2 linked regions of the Xenopus tropicalis genome follow. The protein of the gene in region 2 binds, or shares a complex with, the protein of the main gene of each other region. Links are inferred from orthologs where the notes say so. Each region holds a gene or a part of one and is shown on either strand. Other genes may lie near its edges.

What was found.
Region 1: crnkl1 (region 2) and gpkow share a complex: the UniProt entries of both Homo sapiens proteins name them as parts of the minor spliceosome. The link is inferred for Xenopus tropicalis from reciprocal best matches to the Homo sapiens genes CRNKL1 and GPKOW.

The regions. Positions count from the first base shown.
Region 1 is NC_030684.2:23,990,631-23,995,023, forward strand, and holds the start of gpkow (G-patch domain and KOW motifs-containing protein), read left to right. Parts: upstream 1-1,349; 5' UTR 1,350-1,377; coding exon 1,378-1,583; intron 1,584-4,393. UniProt on the Homo sapiens protein: RNA-binding protein involved in pre-mRNA splicing. As a component of the minor spliceosome, involved in the splicing of U12-type introns in pre-mRNAs.
Region 2 is NC_030681.2:36,930,614-36,934,439, reverse strand, and holds part of crnkl1 (crooked neck-like protein 1), read right to left. Parts: intron 3,791-3,826; coding exon 3,699-3,790; intron 3,611-3,698; coding exon 3,452-3,610; intron 3,173-3,451; coding exon 3,006-3,172; intron 2,812-3,005; coding exon 2,633-2,811; intron 2,189-2,632; coding exon 2,018-2,188; intron 1,146-2,017; coding exon 954-1,145; intron 605-953; coding exon 545-604; intron 255-544; coding exon 174-254; intron 1-173. UniProt on the Homo sapiens protein: Involved in pre-mRNA splicing process. As a component of the minor spliceosome, involved in the splicing of U12-type introns in pre-mRNAs.

The sequences.
Region 1 (4,393 bases), on a different chromosome or scaffold from region 2:
AAAGGACCTGTACATCCTTTGACACTGGCACGAATGGACACAGACACACCCAGAGATTACTCACACAGGCACACAAGAAGCCACATGGACCCACAAACATACACATTCTCTCACACAGGCACACAAGAAACCACATGCACATCCTCTGAAACAAGCACACATGGACCCAAAAACATACACTTTCTCTTACACAGGCAAAAAAGAACCCACATACACATCCTCTGAAACAAGCACCCATGAATACACATTCTAGGAAACAGGCGCTCATGAATGCACATTCTCTGAAACAGGCACCCATGAATGCACATTGTCTGAAACAGGCACCCATGAATACACATTCTCTGAAACAGGCAACAAAAATTGGTATGGTAGGATGGAGCACGCCAGGACTACTGTGATAATAAAAATATTTATCCTTTATTTGTCGCTTCCATTAAAAACACATTACATAATTGAAGAACGGTTACTCCCCAGCTTAACGCGTTTCGTGGCTCACGGCCACTTCATCAGAAGCAATAAACGGAGTCCCCCACCCCCCTGTTGCTTAAATACCCTTCAGTAGTGCACACCCAACACCTCTTTAACCCCCTGTATGCCACATACTCATCCTCAGGTTAGACACACCCAGCACATCCTTAACCCTAGGAGTACCATGTAGAACCATTGCATCAGCTTTTGTTAAATGTACCCCATGTGGTAAGGATATCGTTCAGACATATCCCCATGAATAACGAAATATAAAATGTCATGCTGAGATATTACCCCCACACAATAAGAGAATAAAACAGGCACCCATGAATGCACATTATCTGAAACAGGCACCCATGCATGCACATTCTCTGAAACAGGCACCCATGAATGCACATTGTCTGAAACAGGCACCCATGAATGCACATTATCTGAAACAGGCACCCATACATGCACATTCTCTGAAACAGGCGCCCATGCATGCACATTCTCTGAAACAGGCGCCCATGCATGCACATTCTCTGAAACAGGCACCCATGCATGCACATTCTCTGAAACAGGCACCCATGCATGCACATTCTCTGAAACAGGCACCCATGCATGCACATTCGCTGAAACAGGCACCCATGCATGCACATTCTCTGAAACAGGCACCCATGCATGCACATTCTCTGAAACAGGCACCCATGCATGCACATTCTCGGGAACAGGCGCCCATGCATGCACATTCTCGGGAACAGGCACCCACGCATGCACATTCTCGGGAACAGGCACCCACGCATGCACATTCTCGGGAACAGGAACACAAACAATCTCGTTCCATGGTAACTGCTAGTTCTATAACCCTCGTTCCCTCCACGAAAATCCCAGTATACCCACAATGCGTTGCGACGCCCTGCTCTTCCCACAATGCAGCTTTTCATCGTGTTGGTAGACTTTCCCAGGATGCTTTGCGCTACTAGCGAGAAAATGGCCGCTGGCGGCTCTTCGCAAGCTCCAGTATCTTTTGGATTTAGTCGCAGTTCGAAAAAGAAATTCCTTGTGGCCAATGGAGATGAGAGAGAAGAGGACGAGAAGGAGTATTTGGTCGGGGCAGAGGGTAAAGAGTTGCTCAGGTAAGATATAGATATAGAGTGTTTGCGGGAGAAAGTGGCAAGTGCAACACTGCTTGGGTTTGTCTGCTGTAGTTACTTGTAAAGTCAGCGTGGGTTTGTATTATTTCTCTCTTATTATATAATAGTGTATAGTACACATGGTTAACCTCTTCTTTACTATTTCTGTTGCTGCACCCATACAACTGTATATTATATATTAGAGGTGCTAATGGGTTGCCATGTAGCTCTAGCTTCACTTCAGTATTTGGAACGGTCGGAGTTGCAGTTTAGCAATAGCTGAAGGACCATAGACTGACTCCTGAAACCATGCAGTAGCAGAAGTCTGTACTCCAGGTCTGTTAAAGGGGTTGTTCACCTTTAACTTTACCTATGATGTAGAAAGTGCTATTTTCAGACTGTTTACAATTGGTATTTATTCTTTATTATTTGAGATTTTTGAATTATTTAGCTTTTTGTTCAGCAGTTCTCAAGTCTGAAATTTTTGACAGCTGTCTGGTTGCTAGGGTCCAATTTACTATAGCAACCATGCAGTGATTTGAAAGAGAGACAGAAATATGAAACTACCTTCTGGGCAGTGCACCACCAACATCGTTTTCCTGTTCCTGGTCATTAGGGATGCGCTGAATCCAGGATTCGGTTTGGGATTTGGCCACGATTTGTCCTTTTTTTTTTTTTAGCAGGATTAGTATTCAGACGAATCCATGATCCTGGCCGAACTGAATCCTTAAAGGAGAAGGAAAGGCTAAGTCACTTGGGGGTGCTAAAATGTTAGGCACCCCCAAGTGACTTAAATCGCTTACCTCGTACCCTGGGCTGGTGACCCTGTTAGGAGAAAACAGCACCAGCCCGGGGTACCTGCAGCGATGCGCTTCCGCCTGCATTTCGCTAAGACTAACACAATAGGCGCATGCGCAGTAGAGTGAAAAGCCGACTTCTCGGAGGAAGCGCTGCAGCTACCCCGGGCTGGTGCTGTTCTCTCCGAACAGGGGCACCAGCCCGGGGTAAAAGGTATGCGATTCAAGTCACTTGGGGGTGCCTAACATTTTGGCACCCCCAAGTGACTTTCCCTTTCCTTCTCCTTTAAAACCACGTGACTCTTTGTCACATAAACATGGAAGCTGAAATTTTTTTGCAGCACAGACCGTTCTCTTTAACCCTTTCTTACCCTAACTTTTATATGTAAATTCTGATTTAGTTTGTTACTCGCCCATATCTTTTAAGGATTTGGGGTTCGGCTGATTTCGAAAATAGTGGATTTGGTGCGTTCATACCAGTCAGCCCCAGTAATCGAACTTGGTACATGTGCAGCATAAATATCTGCAAAATGTCGTGTACTGCAGGTGCTTGCTTAAGGTGGTGTAGGGAATATGTGGGAAAATAGAAGAAGATGACTATGTTCACAAGTCACCCAATACTGGTGCATTTTTTAGAAGAAGAGGAGAGCCAGTGGGGTAGTCCTTAGCCTAAAATATTTTCACTTCCAGAGGTTTTTCCTTTCGGTGCAAGGTAAATTACTTTGGAAAATGTGCAATACATTTATTGTTATGTTTCATGCTTGTTATAACACTTCCTTCTTTATTACTACAGCTTTGGCCTGCGTTGCAAGCAGCATGTATATTATAGCATCACCTTAATGTTATACAAAAGGGGTCAGATATTGATGTGGCTGGGGAGATAATCCTTTCAGCTGAATGGGCTAGTTTTAATAAAGAGCAGTAGCAATGATGCTTGTGTCACTAAAATATACAAAATAATAATGTGCTTCTCTTTGAATAATAGATTTTTCTTCCGTCTCGGGGACATATGGGGTTAAGCTCCACCTTTTAGGAGGCAAGACACTTGATTGACAAATTAAAGGGACGTGCCAGGTGGGGCTTTACCCTTCCACTGTACCCGATCCATCAGTTTTTCAAGTGTCGTCCTACCAGGAGGATGGACAGCCAGGTCTCTAGTGAGATTTTTCAGGATTCCTTCAGTCAGGGCCTAGCCCTGACACCCCGGGTGACACCAGGAACAGGGTTACCTGTTGCCTAAATGGTTAACCCCTACACGGGACGCCCACCGGGCTCAACACCTGTCCCAGTGGGGACTGTACAGACCACCCAGACAGTTTCCTGCTCCTTAGAGCAACTGCATAGGGTCTGGCTGGGTGGGCCCGCGACCCCCCTCTGTGTAGCCCCCCCACCTGTCTGGCTGCTTTGATGGATTACCTTTCTGTAAGCTTTAAATGGTATTAGTACTGGCCCCCTGCATGGTTAACACCTCAGATTTAGGATGTAAACCCCCTGTATTGTTCACACCTTTTAATTCCTACATTGTTCACCCCGTGCAGTGTTCACACCTCAGGCTCAGGCTGTTATCACCCACATTGTATTCCTGTTCACACCTCAACTGTAGGAGCAGTAGAAACCCACAAATAGACCCTGCACACTATAAAAAGAACATATACTGTGGTGGTACTGCAATAAAAAAGTGTTTTAATATATAGTTATTGTGCAGACTGTAGGAGCAGTGGCAGGATTGTGTCACTGTAGGCTGCCTGTGTGTGCCATACTCTGCCTGCCATATGCTGCCTGTATGTGCCATACACACAGGCAGCATAGGACAGGCAGGGTAGGGCAGGCAGAGTATGGCGCACACACAGGCAGGGTAGGGCAGGCAGAGTATGGCACGCACAGGCAGGGTAGGGCAGGCAGAGTATGGCACACAGGCAGGGTAGGGCAGGCAGAGTATGGCACACACACACAGGCAGGGTAGGGCAGGCAGAGTATGGCACACACAGGCAGGGTAGGGCAGGCAGAGTATGGCAC
Region 2 (3,826 bases):
ATAGAGTCAAGGCATACTAGAAGTTGTAGTTTTGCAACATCTGGGAACCCAAGGTTAAGCAACAGGGATACAGACAAATATTGGGGTAGATAAAAATAGATTTTTCAAACATTTTAATATCACCGCGAGTCTTAGGATAGAAAATAGTGCTCCCTGTATTTGATGGTACTCACCAAAGCTCTTCTTGCAAATGGAAGATTTTTTTGTCTGACTTCAAACTGTGAGTACATCAGCCAGATTTTTGCAAATGTGAACTGTAAAATAAAACTAGATTAACAAGTAGCAGTAAGAGCCCTAATATTTTAAGTTAAAATTCAAGATGGCTGAAGACATAATTAAAACAACAAAATCTCTCACTCCTGTGCAGAGATCATTACTATCACGTGAGGCAGATCAGCATTCACCCCTACCTGGTGTTGTGCACAGCGGCTGAAGAGTGGGCTGTTCTGCCTAGCTACAGGCAAATCCTCAAATTTAGGACTAGAATTTAGTTCGTAAAATGACATAAGGCTCATGGAAAACAAACAATTACAAAGACTCTTACTTTTTTGTGAGGGATTAGTTCTAAGCAGGCCTGGTAGACTTGCCTTGTTCTCTCTGGGTCCTGAAATTCAAAGTATGTAAAAAAACCATTAAAATCTGTCCATTAGCTAAGTGAAAAAAAATTTGGTTTGGTTTAGGGTTATTCCTTTTTTTCCTATAACACGCTGCTTTTATAAAAGGAAATGCAACAGATCCAGTCATAATAATCACACTTTATAAAGTGTATATGATCTATGTTTTTCAGACTGTTTTCTGCATTAAGAGATGTCTGACACACAACTGCCATCTAGCGGGCAAAAATGTGCAGTGTAATTCAATGTAAATATGCAGACAAAGAATGTCTGGTGCGCGCAGGATGCTAGGTTATTACACAGTTACAAGAGTTTCTTGTGGATTACAATTTTTTTCACCTTTGCTTCTAGCTCCTCATACAAGGCATAGTTTATCCACAGATAAATGTATCTCTTCCAGTGTCTCTTCTCCTTTGTAGGTGGGACATTGGCAATAGCCCGTTCATAAACTTCTCGAACTGTGTCAGGATCAGCATCACTTTCAACCAGCCGCAGATAATCAAACCAAGCATCGTAATTATGAGGATTTGCCTGGGGAGAAAGACATTTGTATATTTATCAAGTGATTTCTCCATCTTGTGCCATTTTGTTACCTATTGCTGAATTGCTCTTCTGGCATGAGATGTGACCAACTGCAGCTGTGTTATTCATTACGAACATATTTAAAGCTCATTTCATTGTGTCACAAACATTCGGACAGCACAAGTGTTTGTTACTTCCTATTCTGTTTCTATCCTATACAAAAAATAGTGCAGTGCAGACTAGAAAAACTATGCAAGCTCAAAATAATTTATATACTGTAATATGCAAAGAAATGGAAACTACCCAAGGACTACTGTTCAGGTTATGCCATAAGAAACATGTTAAAAAAACAAAAAAAAACAAAACAGTTTTGTGGTGCCAGTCAGTATTTCTATTTACTGTGGGCCATGTGTGCTAAACTGATCTTTCACATTAAACTTATGGGCAGAGCAGTGTTTGGGTACTGATTTACTATCACCATAAAAGTAATGATAGAGGGGCAAGTCGGTCGGTCACTTTCAAAAGCAATTAACCTGCGGCATGTTGCCAGTCACACACATCAAGAAAAGAAAAATCTGTAGTGTTTGAGGTCAGCTTCTTGACTGCTGGCACTTAAGATTATTTGATCTATGGCAGGCAATCGGTTAAATCTACTTAAAACTATACACACATTGCTCCGTTGCTAGAATAGAGTTCCTAACAACATTATCTAGCAGTAAACAGACTAAAAACAGTTCAAATGCCTAGAACCACCCTAAATTGGTTTAAGTACTATAAGTACGTGTATAGCCTACTTGACCCTGGTCAACTAAATAGCTTTAGTCTTTGCAAGCTTACTCCTAGTTGTGTTTTCTGTGTTGCATAAAATATTGCTCCCTTACCTTTACTTCTTCTTCATACTGGAACCTCCGTTTGTTGACTATAATATCTTCAATACCTCTCCGGTCACCATATTTCTTCTCAAAAATAGTGTAATTCTTGAATAACTCTTGGGCCTGTTGCTTTGATATTCTGTCCAAAGCATATTTATAGATGACACGGACTCTTTCAAACTGTGTAGAGAACAATAAACATGCTGAATAGGATGTAATCCTGTTGGAACTTTAACACAGTTACAGATGTCATCTGCATCTTCTATCACCAGATGACAAACAGCACATCATCATCCCAGGCTGGTCTCCTTGGACCTAAATTACATTCTATTTCACCCGTTTGTTGGGAATGTGGCAGTTTTTAGAATTAAAACAAATTGGAAGAGTAAACACATTTTTATGTAGAGAAACTTGATTTTAAACCTATTCTAATGCAATAAGACAGTAGTAGCTACATCTAACCTCACAGGAAAGGGAGAAGATAAGGAGCTGAAAACAGTTGCTAGGGTCAATTACTGACATATACAGAGCCTTGACAAATTCATTAAATGTGCTCCCATTGATGTCTCCCAATTTAATACAGTTTAAAATAACACAGCTTGGCTAAAGTAAATTAAAACTCACTTCTTTTTGATGCTCTTCAAATTTAGCAAATGAAACATACAGGTTTTCATCCATGTGATCTTCCCCGAAGAATTCCACGGACCTTTCATAAACTTTTCGTGCGTGGGCAATATAACCGTGCTTCTCTTCAAAGCGAGCATATTTGATCCAGTTCTTCACATCAGGGTGCACAATTACAAGTACACAGATGTTAAAGAATCAAATTTTCTGTGATATTTATGTTTTTACTTTGTACAGGTAAGGGATCGCATATCGGAAACCCTTGAACCCTAAATAGGTTTTAGTTGCAATGTTGGCATTATTGTACATCACAGCACCCACTCTAAAGAATTTCTTAACATAGTAACTTATCACATTTATACACAAAGGATATATCTCTCATAAATAGACCTGGCCCGGTCCACCTCTTTGTATCTGAGCTCAAAGTTGATGTAAGAATGCCAAGCTTGCTCCTCAGGTTGCCACTCCATCCAACGTTCAAAAACCTGCCGCGTTCCAGCCACATTTCCGAGCATCTCTTCCATATAGGTATACTTGTACCTTCAAACATCAAAGCACTGTCTTTTATTACTCGAAGGTCAAAACATTTCTTATGCTACAGCACAATCAATTTTCTAAAGGACATAAAATCACGACAGAAACAAGCTACATATTATCTACATTGTACATAGGGATTATCGACCTTAAGTTGCAGCACTCCTATAACACAAAATCCTTTACTAAAAAGTTACCCCCATAACTCCATATATTTCTAATTATTTTTGGTTACCTATATGTATAAATCAGCATAGTCTTTCCTTTGAAAAGTGACAAACCTACCAGAACTGATTGACCCTGGGTAGGGTAGTGATTGCTCTGTCCCAGATATTTCGTGCATGATTAACCTGGCGGCTCTTCATCTCCATCTCTGCATACTTCAGCCATAGTGTAATATTTCTGTAATCCACATCTAAAGCACGTTCGTATATAGACCGTGCCCTAAAAGCAAGAAAAAAAATTCAAATCATTAATAAGCGTAAATTTAATTTTAAGCCATCTATGCCAATTTAATTAAAAAAGTGAATACCTCTGAATTTCCTTTAGACTTTCCTCCCATTGTGCATATTTTATCCAGTTACTAATAACCGTCCTGTTCTTCCTAATGTTATCTTCAAAGGTCTGAAAGAAAGACACCACTTTTAACATTACGACTCT